7 linked regions of the Macaca fascicularis genome follow. The protein of the gene in region 3 purifies or fractionates together with the protein of the main gene of each other region. This does not show direct contact. Links are inferred from orthologs where the notes say so. Each region holds a gene or a part of one and is shown on either strand. Other genes may lie near its edges. The genes, in order: SP3, DDX3X, EP300, HDAC2, MTA2, SMAD1 and TAF15.

The links.
Region 1: the proteins of EP300 (region 3) and SP3 purify together in Homo sapiens (affinity purification with western blotting; 4 studies listed by BioGRID, with this or other methods). This does not show direct contact. The link is inferred for Macaca fascicularis from reciprocal best matches to the Homo sapiens genes EP300 and SP3.
Region 2: the proteins of EP300 (region 3) and DDX3X purify together in Homo sapiens (affinity purification with mass spectrometry; 3 studies listed by BioGRID, with this or other methods). This does not show direct contact. The link is inferred for Macaca fascicularis from reciprocal best matches to the Homo sapiens genes EP300 and DDX3X.
Region 4: the proteins of EP300 (region 3) and HDAC2 purify together in Homo sapiens (affinity purification with mass spectrometry; 4 studies listed by BioGRID, with this or other methods). This does not show direct contact. The link is inferred for Macaca fascicularis from reciprocal best matches to the Homo sapiens genes EP300 and HDAC2.
Region 5: the proteins of EP300 (region 3) and MTA2 purify together in Homo sapiens (affinity purification with mass spectrometry, with the first as the bait; 3 studies listed by BioGRID). This does not show direct contact. The link is inferred for Macaca fascicularis from reciprocal best matches to the Homo sapiens genes EP300 and MTA2.
Region 6: the proteins of EP300 (region 3) and SMAD1 purify together in Homo sapiens (affinity purification with western blotting; 5 studies listed by BioGRID). This does not show direct contact. The link is inferred for Macaca fascicularis from reciprocal best matches to the Homo sapiens genes EP300 and SMAD1.
Region 7: the proteins of EP300 (region 3) and TAF15 purify together in Homo sapiens (affinity purification with mass spectrometry; 3 studies listed by BioGRID and IntAct, with this or other methods). This does not show direct contact. The link is inferred for Macaca fascicularis from reciprocal best matches to the Homo sapiens genes EP300 and TAF15.

Annotation. Positions count from the first base shown.
Region 1 is NC_088386.1:69,481,362-69,484,861, reverse strand, and holds part of SP3 (transcription factor Sp3), read left to right. Parts: intron 1-3,213; coding exon 3,214-3,500. UniProt on the Homo sapiens protein: Transcriptional factor that can act as an activator or repressor depending on isoform and/or post-translational modifications. Binds to GT and GC boxes promoter elements. Competes with SP1 for the GC-box promoters.
Region 2 is NC_088395.1:41,348,695-41,352,194, forward strand, and holds the end of DDX3X (ATP-dependent RNA helicase DDX3X), read left to right. Parts: coding exon 1-51; intron 52-353; coding exon 354-493; intron 494-680; coding exon 681-760; 3' UTR 761-3,262; downstream 3,263-3,500. UniProt on the Homo sapiens protein: Multifunctional ATP-dependent RNA helicase. The ATPase activity can be stimulated by various ribo-and deoxynucleic acids indicative for a relaxed substrate specificity.
Region 3 is NC_088384.1:10,463,487-10,466,986, forward strand, and holds part of EP300 (histone acetyltransferase p300), read right to left. Parts: intron 2,091-3,500; coding exon 1,911-2,090; intron 1,721-1,910; coding exon 1,576-1,720; intron 1-1,575. UniProt on the Homo sapiens protein: Functions as a histone acetyltransferase and regulates transcription via chromatin remodeling. Acetylates all four core histones in nucleosomes. Histone acetylation gives an epigenetic tag for transcriptional activation.
Region 4 is NC_088378.1:17,988,119-17,991,618, reverse strand, and holds part of HDAC2 (histone deacetylase 2), read left to right. Parts: intron 1-1,264; coding exon 1,265-1,357; intron 1,358-1,434; coding exon 1,435-1,543; intron 1,544-3,500. UniProt on the Homo sapiens protein: Histone deacetylase that catalyzes the deacetylation of lysine residues on the N-terminal part of the core histones (H2A, H2B, H3 and H4).
Region 5 is NC_088388.1:11,457,002-11,461,141, reverse strand, and holds the start of MTA2 (metastasis-associated protein MTA2), read right to left. Parts: upstream 2,801-4,140; 5' UTR 2,386-2,800; coding exon 2,358-2,385; intron 1,622-2,357; coding exon 1,554-1,621; intron 1,186-1,553; coding exon 1,092-1,185; intron 1-1,091. Other genes in the region: EML3 (echinoderm microtubule-associated protein-like 3), read right to left, coding at 3,409-3,612, 3,693-3,823, 4,091-4,140. UniProt on the Homo sapiens protein: May function as a transcriptional coregulator. Acts as a component of the histone deacetylase NuRD complex which participates in the remodeling of chromatin.
Region 6 is NC_088379.1:150,367,580-150,371,570, reverse strand, and holds the start of SMAD1 (mothers against decapentaplegic homolog 1), read right to left. Parts: upstream 2,801-3,991; 5' UTR 2,744-2,800; intron 2,640-2,743; exon of another isoform or gene 2,442-2,639; intron 1,702-2,441; exon of another isoform or gene 1,301-1,701; intron 1-1,300. UniProt on the Homo sapiens protein: Transcriptional modulator that plays a role in various cellular processes, including embryonic development, cell differentiation, and tissue homeostasis.
Region 7 is NC_088390.1:42,128,215-42,131,714, reverse strand, and holds part of TAF15 (TATA-binding protein-associated factor 2N), read right to left. Parts: intron 2,609-3,500; coding exon 2,488-2,608; intron 1-2,487. UniProt on the Homo sapiens protein: RNA and ssDNA-binding protein that may play specific roles during transcription initiation at distinct promoters. Binds to ssRNA containing the consensus sequence 5'-AGGUAA-3'. Can enter the preinitiation complex together with the RNA polymerase II (Pol II).

The sequences.
Region 1 (3,500 bases), on a different chromosome or scaffold from region 3:
AGAACTAGAACTTAGTTCTGAGCTCTTTTTTTTCTAGTGTAATATATTATTTGTCGAGTGTAGTTTTGGCATAATTAATCTAGTAGTTTTCTGATTGAGTGTGTTTTTTCCATTCCATTTAGAAAATAGGGTAGTTAGCAAATTTTTTACAACTGCAAATTTATTATATTGAAAAAGTCCCTTTTCTTGCTTATTTTCCTTAAATTACCTGTTGGGTTTTTTTTTTTCCCCATCATTGTGCTTCACAGGTATTTTAATATATGGTTTTCATTTCAGGCTTATGCAGAGAAATTCAGAATACATCACTTTGCTCTAGGTTTAGAGATTTTCCTTCAATTAATGGCCTGACTTGCTGGGAAAAATGGCACTACAGTTTATTTTTATCTAGCTTCTGGAGAGGGGATGACTTGGGCAGTATTTACTCAGATTTGTCATTTGAGTAGCTGTATTTATTTTCAAGGAATTTCTTGATTAGAAAGCTGTTCAATGATGGTTGAATATCTGTCTTTATTACTATTTTGTTAAAAAAAAAAAAGTTACATGCTGTAAATTTGACTTTTTTTAAAAGAAAGTAAAGGGGACATAATGCCAGTATTGTAAAACTAATTTGTGTCTGAGTTACTATATTCTTTGATAAAAGCTCAATACTTGTAAATTTTATGCTGGTCAGAAAAAATTTCAGTGGATCCTCCAGGTGAGCAGTAACCTTAAGAAGATAAAGATTGGATTTTAGACACCCTTTAGATTTTAGTATATAGGTTTAAATATTTGTGGTTGACTCAAAATGCCAAGAGACTGAAATGAAACATTCGTCACTGTAATGTTAGGAAAGGTGACTTAACATTGTAATTTCTATACCAGATAGAAGTTGCAGAGTGACATGTGACTTTAATGTCTGATGCTTCGTTTTAAAATTGTTTAGTAAGTACAATTTGAGTGTATTTAAGACAGATCACTATTTTAGTTCAGGCCTAGAGATTTGTATTGGGTTCCACAATTTCTCAGCCTTTAGTGTCTCCTCCCTTTCTTTTCAGTCTCCTTCACTGAGTCTTAGTTTATCTTTATAAAACACAGATGTGATTGCACCACTCACTTGCTTATAAACCTTTTATAGCTTTCACTCGCTATCTACAGGATAAAGTCCAAACAATTTAGTGGGATCTGTGAAACCATTTGCAAGCCTTGATAAAAATGTCTAGTCCTGTTCCCCATTGTTTTCCTTTATGAATATGAGCCTTTTTGGGATCTTTTCTTCAATTTCAAACTTCATATTATTTTTTAGGGTTTCTTTTTGTCTGTGATTTTATTGTTTCTGTGCCTTTATTAGTGCCTCTTTTTTTAACTCACTACAGGGAAATCTTATATTCTAATACTACTTTAAAATATATCTATATGAAATCTTTTTTCAATCTTGTATCTTCCACAGAGTGTTTTGATCATATGACTAGTCTGTGCTACTTTTCACATTGTATTAGCATGGATGTGTGTATGTCTGCTTGGATTGACAGTGAACCATTTGAAGATTGGGATTGTATGTCATGGGTTTACTCACATGTGTATTTCATCTTGGTAAATTACTTTCAAATATTTGAATTTAGTCATTTAACTGTGGTTCATCCACTGAAATAACTAACTGTATATACTTCTCAACTATGTCTTCATGAAAATTAGGTAGTGAGTTTCTTTAAGAAACTTACGATTTTTTTTGTATATCTTATTTGCATTAAGTTATATGGAATGGTTTATGTTGAGATAACTGTGTATGTCTTAACTGATTTTTTGGTCATAGATTCTCACTGAGAATATAATGAAACCCTAGATTATCTTTCTCTCCCTCAAATTGTATTAGTACTTTGTCAGAAAGTTGGCATGCTGTTTTAAAGGGCTTCCAGTGCTGGGCTAGATATGCTTATGTTCCCATTGTCTAATGATATATGGAGTTACTGAACTCACAGGTAGATCTAGAAGGAAGTAGGAGAAGGATGACTTTATTTTGATGATAAATTACATAGGTCTTATTCCCTATCTTTGCCATTGGTCTTGGGGGTAGGAATGACACAAACATGATCTGGTGTTTAAGGGCCTGGGTTTTGGAGTTAAGCTTAGCCTAGTTTTAAATCCTGTCTTACCTATTTGATAGCCATGTGATTTTTGTCCCTCAATTTTCTCAGCTGTGAAATAGGGATAATACCTATCTCATAGGATTATTTTAAGGAGTAAATTACATAATTCTGTAAACCCTTCTCATAGTACTGGCATATAAAAGAAAACCTTAAATGTTAGACATTATTGCTATTATTCCCTTAAGAAAATCTACTCTTGGACGTTGACATGTAGGGTTTTATTTCTTTCTGTTTTTCTACATTGGATTTTTTCCAATCTTGCCTAATCCATAAACTATGGGGATGGTAACTGAGCTGCTAGTAGGTCCAGAAGCATACAGACTGTGGCTTTACCTACTATTCTAAGTTCGCAGAAGAATGCCAGGCATATACCAGAATACAAAAGATATATGCCAGGCATTCTACTGAAAACTTACAGTAGTAGGTAAAGTCACAGTGTGTATGCTCCAGCTTCTGATTCTAGAAAAACCTTTCAAATGGGGCTATGTTGTCATGTAGTCACAGGGCAATGACTTTTTCTCATTCAGTTTTTTTAACATCTTTATTTTTCAATAGTTCATGGAAAAAGTAAAGAGTTTGATAGCTTAATGGAATAGCTCTAGCAATGAGTTTACTTCAGAGTATGTTAATAGATGCCACAAAAGAGTAGATTTCATTGTTTGGTTTTAGGTTTATAGCAATAATAAATCTTTTCTAACTCGGATGACTTAACACACTTTGCTAATGTTTCCTTTTTATACACAAATATAATGGACCTAATTTAGTCATAGCTATCTCCACTGTTGTGTTTTGTGTTTTAACTATGTAGTGTTAGAGATCATAGATGCAGGATTAGAAGATTGGTCTGTGGTTGTGATGAACATTCTGAGAATTTTTTCTGTCCCACTCAAATAGGATGAATTGTCTTTGCAATAACAAAACCAGAAGTGATAATTGTAGTTCATATAGTACTGCTACTGTATTTGAACCCTATTGTGTTTTAAGATAAGTTGAATTTTCAGGTAGTAGGATTTATACCAGTTATTAGAATTTTTTGAGAGTTGGTTTAAATATACCACAAATACATCACATTTTTGTTTTCTTCATCCAGACAGGTGATTTGGCTTCTGCACAGTTAGGAGGAGCACCAAACCGATGGGAGGTTTTGTCAGCCACACCTACAACTATAAAAGATGAAGCTGGTAATCTAGTACAGATTCCAAGTGCTGCTACTTCAAGTGGGCAGTATGTTCTTCCCCTTCAGAATTTGCAGAATCAACAAATATTTTCCGTTGCACCAGGATCAGATTCATCAAATGGTACAGTGTCCAATGTTCAGTATCAAGTGATACCACAGATCCAGTCAACAGATGGTCAGCAGGTTCAAATTGGTTTCAC
Region 2 (3,500 bases), on a different chromosome or scaffold from region 3:
CATGGCTTATGAACACCACTACAAGGGTAGCAGTCGTGGACGTTCTAAGAGGTGAGGTATATATGGTGTAATAGGTGTTGACTTACAGTTTCTAGTGTTTCCTCTGCATGCATGATGTCCAGCGTTAACTTCACAGTATTTAAAAAGCTGAATCATCTTAGGCTTTCTAGATTCTTTGGTAAGGGGTTGTATTAGAATGGATGACACTCCATTCTAATGTTGGGGAAAATATGGCTGGATGGGGAATTGTTTGAATGGAAAAATAGAAATTGGTCATTGGGAAGTATGTAAGAGTTAGGTTACTTCAGTGGAATTTCATCTTCATGTGAACCAACATAAATTTTTTCTTATAGTAGCAGATTTAGTGGAGGGTTTGGTGCCAGAGACTACCGACAAAGTAGTGGTGCCAGCAGTTCCAGCTTCAGCAGCAGCCGTGCAAGCAGCAGCCGCAGTGGCGGAGGTGGCCACGGTAGCAGCAGAGGATTCGGTGGAGGTAGTGTTAATCTGTAACTTCATAGCTTTGGGAAGGGTTTTTTTCCGTTTAGTCATCTTTTTCAAAGTCTAATTAAACCATTTAAGATCAGCACTATAGAAACTTGATGGCAAAGTACTTAAGGGAAGGATTGTATTTAATGATGGATAACTTCATTAATTTATCTCTCTTTTAAATCTCTCATTAGGTGGCTATGGAGGCTTTTACAACAGTGATGGATATGGAGGAAATTATAACTCCCAGGGGGTTGACTGGTGGGGTAACTGAGCCTGCTTTGCAGTAGGTCACCCTGCCAAACAAGCTAATATGGAAACCACATGTAACTTAGCCAGACTATACCTTGTGTAGCTTCAAGAACTCGCAGTACATTACCAGCTGTGATTCTCCACTGAAATTTTTTTTTTAAGGGAGCTCAAGGTCACAAGAAGAAATGAAAGTAACAATCAGCAGCCCTGTTCAGAAGGTGGTTTGAAGACTTCATTGCTGTAGTTTGGATTAACTCCCCTCCCGCCTATCCCCATCCCAAACTGCATTTATAATTTTGTGACTGAGGATCATTTGTTTGTTAATGTACTGTGCCTTTAACTTTAGACAACTTTTTATTTTGATGTCCTGTTGGCTCAGTAATGCTCAAGATATCAATTGTTTTGACAAAATAAATTTACTGAACTTGGGCTAAAATCAAACCTTGGCACACAGGTGTGATACAACTTAACAGGAATCATCGATTCATCCATAAATAATATAAGGAAAAACTTATGCGGTAGCCTGCATTAGGGCTTTTTGATACTTGCAGATTGGGGGAAAACAAACAACAAATGTCTTGAAGCATATTAATGGAATTAGTTTCTAATGTGGCAAACTGTATTAAGTTAAAGTTCTGATTTGCTCACTCTATCCTGGATAGGTATTTAGAACCTGATAGTCTTTAAGCCATTCCAGTCATGATAAGGTGATGTATGAATACATGCATACATTCAAAGCACTGTTTTCAAAGTTAATGCAAGTAAATACAGCAATTCCTCTTTCAACGTTTAGGCAGATCATTAATTAATGAGCTAGCCAAATGTGGGCATACTATTACAGGGAAAGTTTAAAGGTCTGATAACTTGAAATAGGTTTTTAGGAGAATTCATCTACTTAGACTTTTTAAATGCCTGCCATAAATGAAATTGAAATGGTAGAATGGCTGACCACAGCAATGACCAGCCCTCATTAGGGCCTTGGATGATTTTTGGTCTAATAACGCATGCTAGTGTTGATGTTTTTTGGTCAAGAGGGTATGAACAGGAAGAATTAAATGCAGCAGGCTTTATTTTAAATGCCGATTCACATTACTCTGTTCAAGCTGCGTTGAGATGTTAAACTGGCTTACTATAGACTTTGTAAAATGGCTCCAGAAGAGTAACAAACTGAAATCTTTGAGATCACACAGGTTGGAAATATGTACATAACTGCACAAGGTGTCAATTCTGCTCTACAGTGCAGTTTTAGTCAGTTTTAGTTGCATAGGTTTCCATTGTATTTATAGTCTGTTTATGCTAAATCTGGCCAAAGATGAGCATTGTCCACCACTAAAATGCCTCTGCCACTTTGAATTCTGTGCTAATTTTGTGGCCAGAATGCAGTGATGAAAACGCTCCATCTTTTTACAGTGGCATAGGAAGACGGCAAAAATTTCCTAAAGTGCAATAGATTTTCAAGTGTATTGTGCCTTGTTCTAAAACTTTTATTAAGTAGGTGCACTTGACAGTATTGAGGTCATTTGTTATGGTGCTATTTCAATTAGTCTAGGTTTAGGCCCTTGTACATTTTGCCCATAACTTTTTACAAAGTACTTCTTTTATTGCACATTCAGAGAATTTTATATATATGTCTTGTGTGCGTGTCCTTAAACTTCCAATCTTACTTTGTCTCTTGGAGATTGTTGAACGCAGCTTGTCTAGGAAGGGGATGGGACTAGATTCTAAAATTTATTTGGGACCATGGGAATGATAGTTGAGAAGAAAACTATTTGCACACGACAGATTTCTAGATACTTTTTGCTGCTAGTTTTATGTAATATTTATTGAACATTTTGACAAATATTTATTTTTGTAAGCCTAAAAGTGATTCTTTGAAAGTTTAAAGAAACTTGACCAAAAGACAGTACAAAAACACTGGCACTTGAATGTTGAATGTCACCGTATGCGTGAAATTATATATTTCGGGGTAGTGTGAGCTTTTAATGTTAAGTCATATTAAACTCTTAAGTCAAATTAAGCAGACCCGGCGTTGGCAGTGTAGCCATAACTTTCTGATGTTAGTAAAAACAAAATTGGCGACTTGAAATTAAATCATGCCAAGGTTTTGATACACTTGTCTTAAGATATTAATGAAACACTTCAAAACACTGATGTGAAGTGTCCAGAATCTCAGATGTTTGTTGTGTGAATTTTGTTTAGTTGTGTGTTTTTTTTTGTTTGTTTTTTTTTTCAGTGAATGTCTGGCACATTGCAATCCTCAAACATGTGGTTATCTTTGTTGTATTGGCATAATCAGTGACTTGTACATTCAGCAATAGCATTTGAGCAAGTTTTATCAGCAAGCAATATTTTCAGTTAATAAGGTTTCAAAAATCATGTAAGGATTTAAACTTGCTGAATGTAAAGATTGAACCTCAAGTCACTGTAGCTTTAGTAATTGCTTATTGTATTAGTTTAGATGCTAGCACTGCATGTGCTGTGCATATTCTGATTTTATTAAAATAAAAAGTTGAACTGCACAGTCTCCTTTGTTGTTGTCAATTGTGGTTTATTTTCAGAGGTGAAAATAAAGTGCTCTTGCCTGAAAAATTGTAAAATGTTATTTTTTTGGTTGTCATCCAGTGCTGTTTTTTGAGATGCCTCTTGGATACAGAATGACTCTCATAAGTATTTGCAATGAAAGATGAAGATGTTAGCTTGAAATACAGTGAAACAGAATTTTTGTAATAGATGGAAATCTAAAAGGCCCTTACTGATGTACA
Region 3 (3,500 bases):
TATGAAGAGACTGCCAAATGGGACAGTCCACGGGACCAAGCACAGTGGCTTGCGTCTATAATCCCAGCACTTTGGGAGGCTGAGGTGGACGGATCACTTTGAGGTCAGGAGTTTCAGCCTGGCCAACCTGGTGAAACCTCATCTCTACTAAAAATACAAAAAGTTAGCTGGATGTGGTGGTGCGCTAGTCTGTTACTCAGGAGGCTGAGGCAAGAGAATTGCTTAAACTCGGGAGGCAGATGTTGCAGTGAGCCGAGATCGCGCCACTGCACTCCAGCCTGGACAACAGAGTGAGACTCCATCTCCAAAAAAAAAAAAGGGTTCACAAGATACAAGATACTCATGTTTAGAGGGAGATGCAGTCAAGCAAGAAAGGAAAAGTCTTTCTTCATGACATCAGTATTTAACAAGTCAGGGACTAGACTAGATCTGGTATTGTCTTATACTACAAGGAGTCAGGGGCACACAACAGAAGACTCCTTCATTAAACTGCTTGGTATTTTAGACCCAAAGAAAAAGAGACACGTACTATTTTAATGACGAATGTTAGGTTTAAGTTTAAGAGACGGCTGGGCATGGTGGCTCATGCCTGTAATCCCAGCACCCTGGGAGGCTGAGGCAGGCGGATCACGAGGTCAGGAGATGGAGACCATCCTGGCTAACACAGTGAAACCCCATCTTTACCAAAAATATAAAAAATTAGCTGGGCGTGGTGGCGGGCGCCTGTAATCCCAACTACTCAGAAGACTGAGGCAGGAGAATGGCATGAACCCAGGAGGCAGAGCTTGCAATGAGCCGAGATCGTGCCACCGCACTCCCTCCTGGGTGACAGAGCGAGACTCCGCCTCAAAAAAAAAAAAAAAAGGCAGGGCGCGGTGGCTCACGCCTGTAATCCCAGCACTATTGGGAGGCCGAGACAGGGGGATCACGAGATCAGGAGATCGAAACCATCCTGGCTAACACAGTGAAACCCTGTCTCTACTAAAAATTCAAAAAAAATTAGCCGGGCGTGGTGACGGGCGCCTGTAGTCCCAGCTACTCGGAAGGCTGAGGCAGGAGAATGGCGTGAACCTGGGAGGTGGAGCTTGCAGTGAGCTGAGATCGTGCCACTGCACTCCAGCCTGGCGATGCAGCGAGACTCCGAATCCAACAAAAAAAAAAAAAAAAAAGACAAAGAAAGAAATTATTAAATGAGACAATGTGGGTACTCAGCACACAGGAGGTGAATGACAAATACTATTATTATTGCTATTCTTTCCTGCATTTTAGTCAAGGCTATTTACAAACATTTCTCTCTTGAAAAATAAGAAAATTTTTAGGGGATACTAACACACGGAACCCTGAAGAAATGAGGGGAACGACTAACTCATTGGTTGCTGCAAGTGAATATTAAAAAATAAAGAAAGGAAGAAAGAAAAATTATTAATAACAATGAAGAGACCAGGCCCAGGGCTTCAAGGTTAATGAAATCACATTAATGGCAACTTCTGAGGCCTAAGAGGCATGATTGCAATTCTGCCCTGGGTTTTTGGTTTCTTCATGTTATCTCCAGAACAAACGGTTTAAGAGACTCACTCTTTTTCTTTGACTGTCCTGGAGCTGGAGATGACTGGGTAGCTGAAGTACTTGGCTGATCTTCCTCCTCTTTTATTTCAGTTTTTAACTCAGTGCTTCTCTCTTCTGTTTCTGTAGGTTCCATTTTACAGTCTTCCACTTTAGACTAAAAGGTAAGAGTTTTTAGTATTCCAAAGATATCTAGTTGGGAATCAGTAGTCTGAACATCCTTTCTCATGCAAAATCTATGCCATGAGATCTAATTATCAAAGTATTTTTCTGTAATATTTTTTAAAAACTGGGTTCCTAGACTGGGGTCCTAACCAAATCAAACAGTAATTGCCCTACTCTCTCACCTCTGAAATATCCTCCGGTTGAGTATCTGCTGGTTCTGGTTGATCCACTTCCATTTTGGCCTCCATCTTCACTTCCTGGGAAGGCTGCTTCTCAGGAATGGCCTGAGAATTCACTTCTGTGCTACTAGTAGATGGAGGGTTTGACACCTGTCCTTCAATGCTTACAGCTGGCTGGGAAAGCTGGGCAGAAAAACAAGGGGAGTGGGTGACACACACACAGTGTTTGCCAATGATACAATCAGAATGTAAGGTAAGCAACAAGACAGCAGAATTAGCCACCTATTTCTTGGCTTATATTCATTCACGGTGTTTTCATTTGCTCTGCCCATTTCACCTCCTTTAATTATACTTAAGAACAGGAGAATTAAGACTTGTAAATACTGGTTGTACATCAAAGAGCCAGCAACTATTTCATTGATAACTATCATTATCTGGCAGTGTGTGGGGATTTCAAAGATGTCTGCTTCAGAGGAGCTCACATTTATACAGAAGCGAGTGAAAGAAAATAATAAAGACTGGCTATCTTTTTTTTTTTTTTTTTTTGAGACGGAGTCTCGCTGTGTCGCCCAGGGTGGAGTGCAGTGGCCGGATCTCAGCTCACTGCAAGCTCCGCCTCCCGGGTTTTTACGCCATTCTCCTGCCTCAGCCTCCCGAGTAGCCGGGACTACAGGCGCCTGCCACCTCGTCCGGCTGGTTTTTTTTTTGAGACGGAGTCTCGCTCTGTTGCCCAGGCTGGAGTACAGTGGCCAGATCTCAGCTCACTGCAAGCTTCACCTCCCGGGTTTACGCCATTCTCCTGCCTCAGCCTCCCGAGTAGCTGGGACTATAGGCGCCCGCCATCTCGCCCGGCTAGTTTTTTTTGTATTTTTTTAGTAGAGACGGGGTTTCACCATGTTAGCCAGGATGGTCTTGATCTCCTGACCTCGTGATCCGCCCGTCTCGGCCTCCCAAAGTGCTGGGATTACAGACTTGAGCCACCGCGCCCGGCCCCGGCTAGTTTTTTTTTGTATTTTTTAGTAGAGACGGGGTTTCACCGTGTTAGCCAGGATGGTCTCGAACTCCTGACCTCGTGATCCGCCCGTCTCGGCTTCCCAAAGTGCTGGGATTACAGGCTTGAGCCACCACGCCCGGCCAAGACTGGCTATCTTTTTTGTTTTTACCTTCTCACCAGAGAAAATTTCAAAGATACAGAAAAGGAGACAATAAATATAATGATGTCCCACAGGGTGGCTGTTTGGAATCACTAGATTCTAATGAGATAACTGGCATTCTCTGTCTTTTCCCTAAGGCTTGTCATAAGAAACCTCCTAATGAGAAGTCAGTATTTTCTGGAACTACTTTGATTTTATAAAGAATAAAATCAAGCAGATCCACTGGTTCCTCTCTCATTCTGTCCCTCCTTGTCTATCAGAGGCCACGATGAACCAGTTGTCCATCAAGTACAGTACTTTATAAAATGGCTGTGACTCATGGGACTTCTCAGTTCATCAACGTGACTGAGAATATATTAGTATCGATATCAAAGTAGAAGCTTCTAAACCCTTAAAAAAAGTTATATTAATAAGGATTCAACTATTAGATAAGAATTTG
Region 4 (3,500 bases), on a different chromosome or scaffold from region 3:
ATGCACCTGTAGTCCCAGCAACTTGGGAAGCTGAGACAGGACAATTGCTTGAACCGAGGAGGCGATCTTGGCTCACTGGAGTGCAGTGAGGCGAGATCACGCCACTGCACTCCAGCCTGGGTGACAGAGCAGGACTCCATCAAAAAAAAAGAAGAAAAAGGGTGGCACGCTCCTAATCCTTTGGTATTGCAGTTAAAATACTAGTTTATAGTAATATCTGTACTATACAGTATCTTCTAGGAATACATAACACACAAATGCATACGCACACATACAAATGCATAACATATACAAATAAGTATATATAATACGTGTATATATCATTTAAGAGTATATGTAGCTGGAACCTTTGTGTCTTTTGAGAGAGATTAATGCCTGGAGTGATACTCATTCAACCAGTAGAAACAAAATTTATTTGAAGTCCAATTAAAGAACAACTCTGATGCTGGGCGCCATGGCTCACACCTGTAATCCCAGCACTTTGGGAGGCCGAGGTGGGCGGATCATCTGAGGTCCAGGAGTTTGAGACCAGCCTGACAAACATGGAGAAACCCTGTCTCTACTAAAAATACAAAATTAGTCGGGCATGGTGGCGCACGCCTGTAATCCCAGCTGTTTGGGAGGCTGAGGCAGGAGAATTGCTTGAACCTGGGAGGCAGAGGTTGCAGTGAGCCAAGATCGTGCCATTGCACCTCTAGCCTGGGCAGCAAGAGCAAAACTCCGTCTCAAAAAAAAAAAAAGAACAAATCTGGTGCTTTAGTTGGTAGCTGTTAAATCTTCGAGAAAGTCTGGGTCGTTCTTTCATCATAAGTAAACTCATACCAACAGATTGTGAACCACAAGAAGGATTGTGCGGATGATTGTCCTGCAGGGTTTTTTGGCTTCATTTATTTTCCACAGGTTTACTCATAAAGTTGCCTTGCCATCTTACATATTCTGCTTATGATGGATTTTCTGGTTTAAGGTAATAATGTAATTTCATTGCCTTTAACTGCTTGTGTTAAATTTCTTTTCTCTCAAAAATAATCACTACAGATTAATTGAAAATGGTTCTTGTGTGCTTTACAATCAGTTTATAAATATTGGAGCATATACTTATTTGTTCTTTATTATTTCCTTTCTCAATTTGATTGTTCCGGTCTCAACTTCTAAGATGAATTCAAAATTGGATCCTTAATAGTCTTTTAGTCTTTTCAAAATGTAGTAAGCAAATGTCAAACTTTTTGTTATAGAATATTCTCTAAGATCTGTTTATGTATTTTAGGATATTGGTGCTGGAAAAGGCAAATACTATGCTGTCAATTTTCCAATGAGAGATGGTATAGATGATGAGTCATATGGGCAGATATTTAAGCCTGTAAGTATTGTTTTCAAAATTGGAATGGAATTTCAGAATGTTATTGGAGATGCTAACATTTGTTATCTTGTGTGTAGATTATCTCAAAGGTGATGGAGATGTATCAACCTAGTGCTGTGGTATTACAGTGTGGTGCAGACTCATTATCTGGTGATAGACTGGGTTGTTTCAATCTAACAGTGAAAGGTAAGCAATTCAAAGGGTGGTATTCCCAGAAAAAAAATGATTTTTCTTCCACCTAAGAACTTCCCATAAAAGTTCTCATTGTAATTTCTTGCCTGCTGTTTTAACACTATACTCTGCATTTTTCCTGGGGTTTTGTCTGTTGTATATATGACTAGAGTTATTCTTGTTACATTGTGGCAGATTTATATGTACATTTATATATGACTAGTTTTTTAGTTTATTGTAGTTTGAACCCAAGGCAGCTATTTTCGAATGTTTTTGTTGACTCAGTGTCAATAAAACAATGCATACTTTATTACTTAATTGGATTATTCTCATTAAGGAAGAAGAGGGTTTAGCTCTCCTCACCACTTTGCCCACAGCATACTTGTAACCCTTCCCACATCTCTATTTTTTACAAATCAGAATTTGGTTGTGACATTTAGTGTTTACAGCAGCATCTTTAAACACTTTTCAGCTTATCCAAGTTTTCTTTGCCGAATAATTGTTCCTAAGTTTCACATTTGCTTAGTTTTCTCTCCACTTATTGCTAAACTACTGGTGTCTCAGTATCTCCATATGTTCAGATCCATTGAGTATTCTGTCACTTTTACCTTCTTGAAAAACAGCCTTCTCATCTGTTCATGTTTGGATGACTCTCTTTGGTAGACCTGGCGGGACATATAGCTGTTCTCTGCTTTTTTTCTATTGTATTGGTTCTTCCTGGTGGCTCTATTCTCTGTCGTTAATTTTTTTCTCATGTTTTCGTGGAGCGCCTTCTCAAGTAGCTTCCTGATAAAAAGTGTGTGGGAGATTAGGAGTGCTGCAGTACATACTAAATTTTGATCACGTGTTGAAGTCAGCATATGATGGAAGTCTAGGCCAAAGCAAAATATCACCATTCTGGAATGAACTTCTAGGGTGTAAGAATAAATCTGAAATTTAATAAGATCTTAAAATTTATTTGTTGGTTAGAAATGATTTTTATCATGAGTGTTTGTGTATGATTTTAGAGGTTTTTTTCCATGTGAACTTTTAGGTAGCAAGTTGATACTCTGCTTTGTATTCTCTAAGATGTAGAGAATTCTCAGATAGAACTTTCTCCAGAACAACTGCTGGTCTTAATGGAATTGGATAACTAAATACAGATATTAAAAGCTTCTTTACTTAATGTTACGATTGCTACTATACCAGCTGTATTAGAATTATGGTATAGTCTGTTATTCTACATTAAGTTAAATGATATTAAATTAATTGTCCCTTTGTAGGTCAGCAGTGGTTGAACAGCATGTAACTTAATGTGTTAATAACCATCTTTTGCCTCAAAATGTTTATAAACTTTCTTTTTTTTTTTTTTTTTTTTTATGAGACGGAGTCTCGCTCTGCCGCCCAGGCTGGAGTGCAGTGGCTGGATCTCAGCTCACTGCAAGCTCCGCCTCCTGGGTTCACGCCATTCTCCTGCCTCAGCCTACCGAGTAGCTGGGACTACAGGCGCCCACCACCTCGCCCGGCTAGTTTTTTGTATTTTTCAGTAGAGACGGGGTTTCCCCGTGTTAGCCAGGATGGTCTCGATCTCCTGACCTCGTGATCCGCCTGTCTCAGCCTCCCAAAGTGCTGGGAGTACAGGCTTGAGCCACCGCGCCCGGCCTATAAACTTTCTAAAACGATCTACCTGATGTACTCTTAAGAGTGTGTATTAACTATCAGTTTTCCTGTTAGACATGAAAGTCCTTAATGTTTTTGTACTTAATAGTTTTTATAATCATTTCACTCTTAGAGAAAAATTAACGTTGTATTTCAGCTAATAGTGTTTCAGTTGTATAAAGCATGTAAGGATATTTGTAATTCCCAAGTGTTAAACTTCATTCTGAGTTTCTCTACTGCCAGCTTTGATTCAGCTTTTTCTTTTTTTTTTTGTTTTTTTTGTTTTTTTTTTGAGACGGAGTCTCGCTCTGTCGCCCAGGCTGGAGTGCAGTGG
Region 5 (4,140 bases), on a different chromosome or scaffold from region 3:
AGCCCTAACTATCCCTCATTCTCTACTTGGCTAATAATAGTTCCTAGGGTTTTCAAGGACAACACCTCTCAAGCTAGTGCCAACATCTTCCTCCTGAAAGAGCTGCAGCTTGCCCTGAAACCTAGTGGAAGGGGTTAATCTGGCTAGGCGCCAACCAAAGTGGGAGGGGGCAGAAAAGCCTCAGGCCCAGGCTCATTGGTGCATTGTTCCCAACCTCAGGGAGAAGGGGGGGTTGTGCAGTAGGCTCCACCCCTCGCTTGTGTGCTCCGGAAACCCTGTGCTAAGGCAAGGGGGACCACACCCCCAACACCCCTTCTGATTGGACAAGGCCAAGGTCAGCCCCTGCCAGATGGGGCTGGAAACCCTAAAGGGCCAGGGAACTTGGTTAGCCAGGATCCTCTTTAACCCCTTCTCACCCAGAGCAGTCTGAAAAAGGAAAATGATTTAGAAAGGTGGAACAAAAGGAAGGAAAAAGAAAACCAAAGCAGGAAAGGAAAAAGAAGCTAAGAAAATATTTTTTTTTTTAAAAAAGAAAATGAGACCTTAAAGAGGATGAAAATAGAGCAAAATGAAAAGGGAAAGATGTAAAATGGGGGGTGGCAGGTGGGGAAATGGGCAAGGTGAGAAATTAAAAAGTGCAAGAAAACTTCCAGCCATCTTCTAACTTCCAGGTATTCTCACCACCTTGTGATTACAAAATAAGGCTGCTTCTGTTATGCGGGCTTCTCAGTACAATCTCTTCCTCTTCACCTTGACCTTCAGTCACCACCTACTGTCCCAGTGTACCCCAAACTGCCCCCCTTTAGAAAAGCATTCTGTTTCTCTAAACCCCGTCTTCATCCCCTAAATAAACCGTATCGTCTCTCTCCTACTCTCATACACAAACCATATCATGGCTTTCCTTATCACAATCTCTCCACCCTGCTTCCAACCCCAACGTGTAAAAACAGGTCTCCCTCCTCAGGCCAGGCATTTCCCACCCTCAAACTCACACCTCTGCCTTGGGCATGCTACCAGGGGAAATACCTGCAGGGACATGCGCAGGCCTCAGATCATGGGGAGGGGGAAAAGAAAGGGATGAAGATACTCACTGGCATTACTATCAGCCAAGCTGTTGAGGCTACTAGAAATGTCCCTGCGCCGGAAAAGACAGACGACCTTTGCCTCCACATTTCCATTTGCAGTCTAAGGGGAGGAAAAAAACAAAAACAGAAACAAAACAACGTAGCAGTGAAAATTGATCATCTGGGAACAGAAATACACAAAGAGACAAATAACAGTAAGTTTCGGAGGGACCTAAATTAAAAAGCCCAAGAAAATATGAGTAAATACTTACATTCAAGGACAGACTTCCAAATCCCTTTCCTTTGCCCCCAAGAGACAGAATAGTAAAGTTCCTGCTAAGCTCTCAATAGCCTTTCCTGAATACATCCAATTAATGAATGAATGAATATGAATGGGTACTTAGTATAGGGTCCTCTCTTCCACCTGAAGTTAGAAACCTCAGAAGAGACCACTGGGGGAGGGAGGGAGAGGGATTCTGCTCCACTCACCTTGTTGAGTTCCTCAATCCGTCTAACCAGGTAAGGATTGCTGGAGGAGTTCTCAAAATAGACGTAATCTGTAAGGGAAGGGAGGGGCGAGAACCACGAAGATCAGAGGAGATGGGAGAGACGCAGAGCACCACAGTAGGAGAGAAAGTTGGCCTGAGTGGATCAAAAGAAGATAAGGATTCAGGCAGAGAGCGCGCTGAGATGTGAAAGTGTAAAGACTAAGAGAAAATAAGGATGTCCCCCACCCCCACCGCACCTAGTTCTAAAATCAGATCCATTACTCAAAAGTGAGCCTTAAGGAACAGGCAAGAAGCAGGGGTTCCCCTGCAGTCCCCACAACTCAGCAACGAGTTGCACCTCAGTCGCGGCGAAGTAATTGTTCGCTCTAGCGCAGGGCCCCCACCTTTTCGAACTGAGGCGCACAATAACGCCTGGGAAGAGGAAACCTCCGGGCGGCTCCTCCGCGGTGGCAAAGCCGTCGCCCCAGCCCCTCGCGTTCCCTCCCCACCCTGTCAGCTCCTTCGGAACCGGTTTCCGAAGCCCACTCCGTGCCCCGAGGAGCCCCCGACGCAGCCCTGAAAGTGCCGTCGGGGCTGCCCGCAGCTTCTCTCCAGGAGTCTCGGCGCCCTGCCGCGTCGCGGTTTCCCGCACCCTAGCTCCTCGTCTCCCGGTTCCGGTTCCGGTCCGCGCTCCGGTCCATGCCGCCCCATACGCTGCGCCTCGCGCCACCCGGTGCCGAGCCCCTCCGGTCCCGACCCCAACCTCTCCCGCCCCGGACCCTGTACCCCTGCGCCCGGTACTCACCTCCCACCCGGTACATGTTGGCCGCCATGGCCGTTCCCGCCGCCGCCTCCGGCCGCACAAAGGGGTCCGGGAGGCTCGCGGGGGCAGGGCTCGGCTAGAGGCAAAGCCCTGAACGGTGGGCTGGCGCTTCGAGGGAGTCTCACTGGGGCCCGCGCAGCCGTCACCTCCGCTGCCTCAGCCGTCGCGGTTCATCCCGGCCCGCGCTATCGCCGCCGCAGCTATCGCCTCACTCCCGGGACGCTGAGGCTGGCCCCGGTCCGCTCGGCTTCTTCCGGAACGAGCTCGGCTCCTGCCAGGCGAGAGCCAGGCTGCAGCTGCCCCCACCCCCGCCGAGTCCCACTAGTCGTTGGGCTCTGCCGGCCGCAGGGAAGGCTTGCCCGGCCCGCCTCAGGGTTCGCCTCCTTCCGGAACACCTTCGGCCGATCCGGAGAACAAGGCCCACTGCTCGGCTCAGGTCGGAGAGCGAGACCCCGCAGATCGGCTACTTCCGGAAGAAGTTCGGCTCCTGTCGGCCAATCGCTCGGCTATTTCCGTTGCAGCTCGGCACCCCCCCACCCCTTTTTCCGAGGGCGGGAGAGGAGTGGGGCTTAACTCTGTCCTAGCTGGAGCCCTGCAGCTCCTCCTCCCGCCCCGAAGACTCGCGCGCCTTAGCGCTTCGCCAGGTTATTTGCAAGCGGCTTTGCCTGTTATTTGCATAAATGGTCTACGCTCCCTTGCCCTTTCCGCACGCCTCTTTTCCTTCGTCCCCACCCCACAGGGCCCCGGAGGCACCCAGCAGCGCCCCACAAAAGCACCGGGAGGCGACTTTGGTTCTGGTTTATTGCCCCTCAGCAGGCAGCGGGAGTCAAGGCCTAGGTTGGGGCTGCCCGGCTCAACCAGCGGGTCTAAACAGTGTGTGCAGGGGCGCCGTTCGCGCCCTCCAGGGAAATGCACCGTCGGGAATGTTTCGAAGTCAGTCGAGGAAAGAGTCGGCCCCTGGTCGTGGGGGATTAGGGCGGGGCAGAGCGGGGCGGGGCCACGCCGCCAGGCCAGTAGGTCCCGCCGGCAGCGATCAAACGTCGAGGGAGGAGGCGGGGGACAGGGAGGGGGTTCGAGAGGGCGTGGCAGGCGCCGGCCCCGCGCCCCCAGCGCCCAGCACTCGCCACTGGAAGATGCTGGCGTCCTTGCCGCCCAGCGAGACGAGGTGCGAGTCGTCGTGCGTGAACCGGACGCTGGTCACGTGGCTGCCGTGGCCCCCGTACATGCGGCTCGGCGCCTGGGCGGGAGGGAAGAGTTGCAGTGGCGGCGGAGCCCTCGGGCCCACCCGTCCCACCCCGGCGGCCCCCGCGGCCTCACCTTGGCACGAGCGCACGGGTACTGGAATAGATGCACTTTGCAGAAGTCGTCGGCCACCGCCACCACGCGCTCGTTGTGGGAGCGGCACAGGGAGTTGATGTCGGTCCCATCGGAGCCGTCCGGCCACACGCCTAGCACAGTGGCCGGCCTCAGCCCGACCTCCTACCCACCGCCACCCACGGCCCAGAGCTACACCGTTTCAGGCGCTCCGGCAGCCGCAGCCACCCACTGTCGCGTTCCAGGAAAGCCTTCCCGGTCCCGAGGGCCGGAGGGGCCTCCTGGGCTGGATCTTCAGGTTTCTGGACTCTCACCCAATGACACACGCCCAGCGTTCCGAGCCCAAACTGGGCTCCACCTTGTCCCCCACCCCTCCAGCAGGGTTCCACGCCCCTGCTCACCGTAGACGTGGAAACCCAGCACACAGGTGTAGGTAGCCCATTCCCGGTCT
Region 6 (3,991 bases), on a different chromosome or scaffold from region 3:
TTTAATTATGATGACTGAACTAATAGGCTGACATCATAGACTTTTACAGGCTGACCCCATGTCATCCTGATGTATCATTTTGCACCAGTTCAGTGCTGTAAATCAATTTAAGATCTCAAGCAGGTTGAAAAGGCTGGTAATGATGCTTTCTCTGCTGTCTCTGGAGACTCTACATTATACCCAACTTACATTATTTATAAAGCCTCAGTGATGCCTCCATTAGCCTTGTAAGACTACACAAATGAGATCTTTTATACACACACACACTTGGCCTTGATTATGTAGGCTACTGCAGCTTAAACATGCTTGTCTAATTACACCCAAGTTACTTCTTTTTCCAATCCACTAAGTTATTAGATTTTATCTTTAACCCAGAATTGCTAGAAATCAAAATTACAAAGTGAAATTTAGTTTTTAACTAATAAATGTAATCAACGTAGTTGAGAAAATGTGACTTACTTCCTCTTAATGCCTTAATGAACTTAGTAGAAATAAAATTAAATTCCAAGAAGTGTAAGACGTCAATGTCTCTAATTGCCTAAAAACTGTCATTTTTCTAAAACACAAAGGTCATCAGCTCTTCAAGGATATGAAATCAAAGGATACTGCAAGGGGTAAAATGTATTTGGTTACATACCTATGGTTGTAGGGGTCAAAACTAAATCAAGGACAAATCCCTACCCTCAGAAGAAACCTGATCCTGCCTGGATCCTCTAGAGGCTCTGGCATCACCCATCTTCAGAAAAATCATCTCTCACGACCCTAGTTACACTTTCCTAAGAACTGCAGTATTACACCAATGATACACCACCTGCACAGAAATATCAAATAACTGCAAATAGGAAAGAGAGTGGGAGAGGGCAGAACAAACACTTTAATCAGTACAGCATATTTAGATCTGGCACCTACATCAGAATAACACTGATGCAACAATATTTACACCAATTGAAAATGCTGGGGCAGTGAACACTTCTGCCCCGATTCTTCTTTAATACAGCTCACCCACCTTCAGTACAATTTAAAGTAATTACAAACAAGATGAAAAATCAACATGGGCAGGGAACAGTTTTCTCATTGTGTTACCGAGGTGTGGGCAAGTTATCCACAACAGACAATTAGACCCAGAGATGTTCTGAAATAAAGGCATTCTGAGATTTAGCCGCTGAGAGTTGCAGCAACAGGAAGACATAACAGAAATCATGCAACTTCTTTATCATTCCACGTACTTTGAAACTTCAGATACAATGGAAAGAAAAGAGGGGGGAGGGCAGAGAAAAAGGACAGTTGTCTCAGCACTCACGAAAACGATGCTTTCTCAGGAGATGGTTGAGACCGGCCTCAATTTTCAGAAGGAACGAGCCTTTACTGGTTATCTTGCACCGTGTATTTAAAAATTGCATGCGCTTCAAAATAAACAAAAGCTCAGCTACTGTAGTTGTGAGATCTGGCAGGCATTTGTTCCTCCTCCCCTCCTAAAGCACATCAAGGAAACGTTCTCCCTTTAAAGCCTTCATACAGCTTCAGCAACTAGAAAAACAAGCCCACGTCTGTCTCTCACGCCCACCACCCCCACCTTCCTACAGAAACAACCCCGAGAAACACTAACAAAGACAGAGAGCAGAGTAAAGGAACAGTTGTTCAACCGCGAACTCACGAATACACATGCAGTGAGGCAATCGACTCCGGTAAAGGGAAAGGAATGAGACACCAGGAGACGCAGCGGGTGTAGGCGGAAGAGGGGGAAAAAATTACGCGCCGCCGCCAAACCTTTGAATAAATTAGAGGGGATTTCGGTGCGAACTTTCCTTGACCTCGACCCCAAAGAGGCTCGCTGGGGCCGAGAAGGAAACCCGTGCGGGATGTGGAGGGGCCCGGGCCGCCGGGGTCCCCCGCCCGCGAGACCCGCTCCACCAGGCGCCTTGGAGGGCAGCGCAGGCGGTCGTCCTCCAGCTCCCTCAGGAGTCGCCCCGCCGGCGCGGGGGACACAATGGGTCCGCGGGCCGCGCGAACGGGCCTCGGCCCGGCTGCCGCACGGGAGAGATGTGAGGAGCGCGCGGAGGGGGAGCGCGGCCGGGGAGGTCCCAGCGCGGTCGGGCCCGAGGGCCGAGGCTTGGGGGCCCGGGAACTGGGCTTCCCACGGCAGACGACCCAACAAAGACACCAGGGGTGCCCGGCGGGCTGGGCACGAGAAGAAGACGCGGTGGCAGGTTCGCTCCTCAGAGCGGCAGGGAGGCGCCATCATGGGGGGTGGGGGGTTCGCGGCCCGCCCGGCGCAGAAAGAGCCCCCTCCCCGCCGCCGCCCGCGCCCCCAGCCCAGCACGACCGCGGTGGCCCCACGCGTGCAGAGGCGACGGCGGCGGCGCTGGAAAGCCTGGGGCGCCGAGGGGAGGGCGGCGACGCGGCATGAAGGGAAAGTTGGGTTTGGGTCTGTTTCGTTTTACCGGGTTAGCGGCGCGCCAGTCCGCGCGGGCGCACGAGTGGCCGGGCGAGCGGGGTCCCGCGGCCCGGGTCTGGCCGGCCGGGCGCTGCGCCGCGCTCCGCTCCCAGGGTCCCTCCCCGAGCCTCGGCCCGGGTTGAGCCGTTCGGCCTCTCCTTTCTCCGCCCGCCCGCCTGCTCTCTCCTGGAGCCTGGATTGATCTGGTCGCGCTGGCGTCAGGGAGTCGGAGCCGCCCAGCCTCCACTCCTCGGCTGCCAATACCCGGCGCACTCGCCTGCCCGCCCGCCCGCTCGCTCACACGCTCACCCGCTCACCCGCGCGCCGCCGCCGCTGCCGCGCGACCAGGGATCCTCTCCAAATTCCCGGCCCGACCGGCGTGAGCGCAGCACGGCCGGGGCCGGAGGACGGCGCGGGGGAGCGGCCGGAGCCACCCCCTTCTACCCGCAGCCCCACGTCCCGTTTATTCCTGGAGAAAAAACAGTGTCGCGGAGTTCAGGCTTTCCTAACCCTGCCTTTTTAGTCCCGGTGGAGTGGACTTGGTCCATTATCTGCAAGTGAATTTCGATACTCCATGTTTTTATTTTCTGAAATGTTCATTAATGCTTCCACCGCGCCCACCGAATCGTTCTATAAACGTGGAGTGCCTGTTGACAGTTATCCTTGGAGACGCGCCCTTTTATGTCTAGTTTTCGTTGCCCCTCACGCACTCTCCAATAATTTGCACGCCCCAGAAGTTGTACGTACCCAGAATTGGATAGCCTAGTAACTACTGCACGTGCTTATACAAACCCTGAGTCAACAGATGCGTTTTATGTCAACTCAGGATCCAGTGATTCGAGTAGGTAACCTTGTTGCTCTAAATGACATGCCACAAGGAGATACTGCTTTAACACTCCACATTTTTGGTCCAATTTTTACAGTCTTTTAGATGATGCCAACTCCTTCGCACTTAACTCTTACCAACCTGATCTGCATAGACACTGAAAATATCTTCTAAGAGTCAACTTTTCTCTTGGCTAACTCTTGAAACTGCATAAAATCTTGGATAATTACTATAATGTTGAGTTACAGTTAGACAAGAATGATTTTTTTGAGGAATAAATTTCACATGAAGCAAAAAAATAAAAATAAAAAATAAAAAATAAAAAAAATCACTCCCAGCAGTCAGAATATGCCTTCTAATTAAATTCCTTTTTCCCTTAACCTATTTGAGCACTTACTGGTCAATTCGTGGGCCTCATCTTATTTTCCCTAAAAGCAGCGTTTGACGCAGTTGATCATCCTTTGCTCCTTAGAACAACAGGAAAGTGAACCTTGTTAAATGCCACTCAGATCAGGCCACTCCCCTATTGAAAACCCTCCCTTGATAAATAGTATAAAGTATCCCATACAAGAGAACATTATTCAGCCATAAAAAGAAATGAAGTACTGATACTGATGCATGCTACATGGATAACCTTTCAAAACATGTGAAGTGGAAGAAGACAGACCACACGTTGTATTCTTCCACATATGTGAAATGCTCAGAGTAGGCAAGGCTATGGAGACAGAAAG
Region 7 (3,500 bases), on a different chromosome or scaffold from region 3:
GTGGCATATGCCTGTAGTCCCAGCTACTCAGGAGGGTGAGACAGGAGGATTGCTTGAACCTCGGAGGTGGAGGCTGCAGTAAGCTGAGATGGTGCCACTGCACTCCAGCCTGGGCAGCAGAGCGAGACTTCATCTCAAAAAAAAAAAAAATTATATGAACTTCAAATTTCAGTACCCATAAATGAAGCTTTACTGGAACACAATCCTGTTTATTCATTTACCTATTATTTACGGCCGCTCTGGTGCTCCAAGGGCAGAAATGAAGTTACAACAGAAACCATATGGTTTACAAAACCCAAAACATTTACTATCTGGCCTTTCACACAGTTTGCCAACTCAATGTAAGAGTAATCGGCATCCACATGGATTTCTAAAACAGGCCTTTCATGAACATCTCAACAAATAACAGAGTATAAGGCAAGACTGCAGATCCCTTCCTCAGCCAATCTTTCCCCCCACTGAAACCAGATCAGCATCATTTTGACCAACTACATACTGGACTTCTGCATATGATTTTGTATGAAGGGGTATTAAACGAAAATAAAAAACTTAGTTTATAAGTCAGTATCTAGGCTACAAATTATATGAAGTATGTTGCCAGGGGTTTATAAAAGTACTTAATTGGACCCCACAGTTGGTTAAGGTACTCCTTCCCTTCTTTGTCAGGAGGATCATTCAAAGTCCTTTCAACCTTCTAGTCACAAGATGAGTCACAAATGAAAATACATTAAAAAAAAATTTTTTTTTTGAGACGCAGTCTCGCTCTGTCACTCAAGCTGGAGTGCAGTGGCGCGATCTCAGCTCACTGCAGGTTCCGCCTCCCGGGTTCACGCCATTCTCCTGCCTCAGCCTCCTGAGTAGCTGGGACTACGACTACAGGTGCCCGCCACCACATCTGGCTAATTTTTTGTATTTTAGTATTTCACCGTGTTAGCCAGGATGGTCTTGATATCCTGACCTCGTGATCCGCCCGCCTTGGCCTCCCAAAGTGCTGGGATTACAGGCGTGAGTCACCATGCCCGGCCAATGAAAATATATTTATAATGACTTCCCTACCTATTCCCTATCTTTTTCTTCCATTCTTAGACACAGTGATAGTTTAATAATCGATTAGGATATAACTGTAATTTCCTTATGAAGAAAACTAAAGCTATGATATACTATAAAACATAAAGCATTTCAAGGCAGCCAATTATCCAAAACATATTAACTGGTAAATTAAATATACCTGTTGGTTATCTTGTTTGGGATAGGACGGAGGCTATTATTAGGTAGAGAGTAAGTACCATGTCACTTTACATTGTCCATTCATATCCACATGATGGCAGACTGCTCTTCGACAATGAAGAGGCATAGAATCTACTTGTTTTACTTTGGTAAACTGACTTTGGCTATCAATCAACAGACTTAATGTCCAAGTCTTATAACATTTTTCAAATATGTTTAAAATTTAGGTTTTCCATAAAATCAAACCACTGTACACTAAAAATAGAGAAATACAAGGCAGTGAAATCAAATCCTGGCTTGAAGAAATAACAGTCTGTGGGCAACTGGTTGTTTCTCAGGTCACCTCAGGGGACAGATGGTCCCTAAGGTGCAAAAGAATGAACCGGTGCTGATATATGACTGATAAGTTTCAGCAACAGGCCACTGACCATTTCAATTCCCAAGGAACATAAATTACCTTTTAGCCTGTGTATTTACACACAAATATGCAACCTGCAAACTTCTTCTGAGGACAGATGTCAACTACTTTTTCATTTTTGTTTTTATGGTCAAAGTAGTAAACTTACAGATGTATCTAAAACCAATTTTAAAACCAGCTTCATAACATATGCTGTAAGTAAATAAATACCAAAACCTGGTAACACTAGCATGGAGAAAAGAAAAGCTGAATTAGAAAGACATTCCTTTACACAACTTAGTCAAGACAAAATACACATTACTATGTGATGTTACACTAATTATTCCAATAATTATTTACTTAAGAGGAGGGACAAAACAGTTTCGTTACATTAAATCTTTCTCTTACTCGCCATCCCCACCTTTCTACTCCATTACTGCCTCCTAATACTTTCCCTTCCCAAGGAGATTTGAGATTAAGAAATAGCCCTTGCCCTTCAATCTAGAATTAACTTACCTTTTATTTTTACATACAAACACTGGATTTCCCAGAGTTGTCTTTTAAAGGAGTTTAGATTCTAGCTCTGGCAGGAAAGTCAAGTGGTTAATCACAACCATAGTTGTTTCTCTACTAGTGTTTAACATGTACCACATAAACTAACTGCTAACATAGCCAATTCTAAGGTCATTTATGTGAGATCTTAACACTGAAAATACAGTTTTAATTTCTGCCTTTTTCTCCAATACATAATCCCTTTTTTAAGTCTCTTAACTAAATTAGATGCTGGAATTGATCCAGCTAAGTAACACCAAAAACAAAAGAGGAATAAGAAAAAATGTAGGTATCTTTATCTATATACTTACCTTGATCCTGTCATAGGACCTCTTCCATCCTTGTCATATCCCCCACGCCCTCTACCTCCTCCCTGTGACCCGCCATATCCTCTATTATCTTCTCCATACCTACTCACATCACGACGGTCATCTACAAAAAAGAAAATATTACACACAAATAACCACTCTCATTTCTAAGGCTTCAAATAATCATAAATGGCTCTTTAGGCCACACATATCCTTATAGAAAATGGCACATGCGCACACAACTCAAATGCAAGTCATCATAAAATCATCTGGAATTACGTTTTTCAGAATTATATCTGTGTCAAATTCCATTCTGCTAAAGTGATATGGCAAAACAGCAATGTGGAACAGTATGAGTTAAAATACAATCTTAGCTACAAGAACCTTAGTAACTTAGATGAAAAGCACCAATCTTTTTTTTTTTTTTCTGAGATGCAGTCTCGCTCTGTAGCCCAGGCGGGAGTGCAGTGGTGCGATCTCGGCTCACTGCAAGTTCCGCCTACTGGGTTTACACCATCCTCCTGCCTCAGTCTCCCAAGTAGCTGGGACTACAGACGTCCGCCACCACGCCCGGCTAATTGTGTTTTGTATTTTCAGCAGAGACGGGGTTTCACCATGTTAGCCAGGATGGTCTCGATCTCCTGACTTTGTGATCCACCCCCCTTGGCCTCCCAAAGTGCTGGGATTACAGGTGTGAGCCACCGCACCCGGCCCCCCAATCTTAAAAGTTACTTCTTTCTTCACTTTGGAAACGTTTAAATGTAAATTGAGCATGGACAAGGAATAACTGAATCTTCAAACTGAGAGAAGATTATTAGTGAATGTGCTTCCACTTTTATTCATTCACTTATTCATTCAATTATTCAACAAATGTTTACTGAGCACTTGTTATGAACCAAACCATGTACTAGGCCTTAAAGGTACAAAAATAAGTGCCCCAAATCAAGTACACCACCAACACCAAAAGAACTGGTACCAGCAGTATTGTCAAAGGATCAGAGTTCACTGAGACAAAA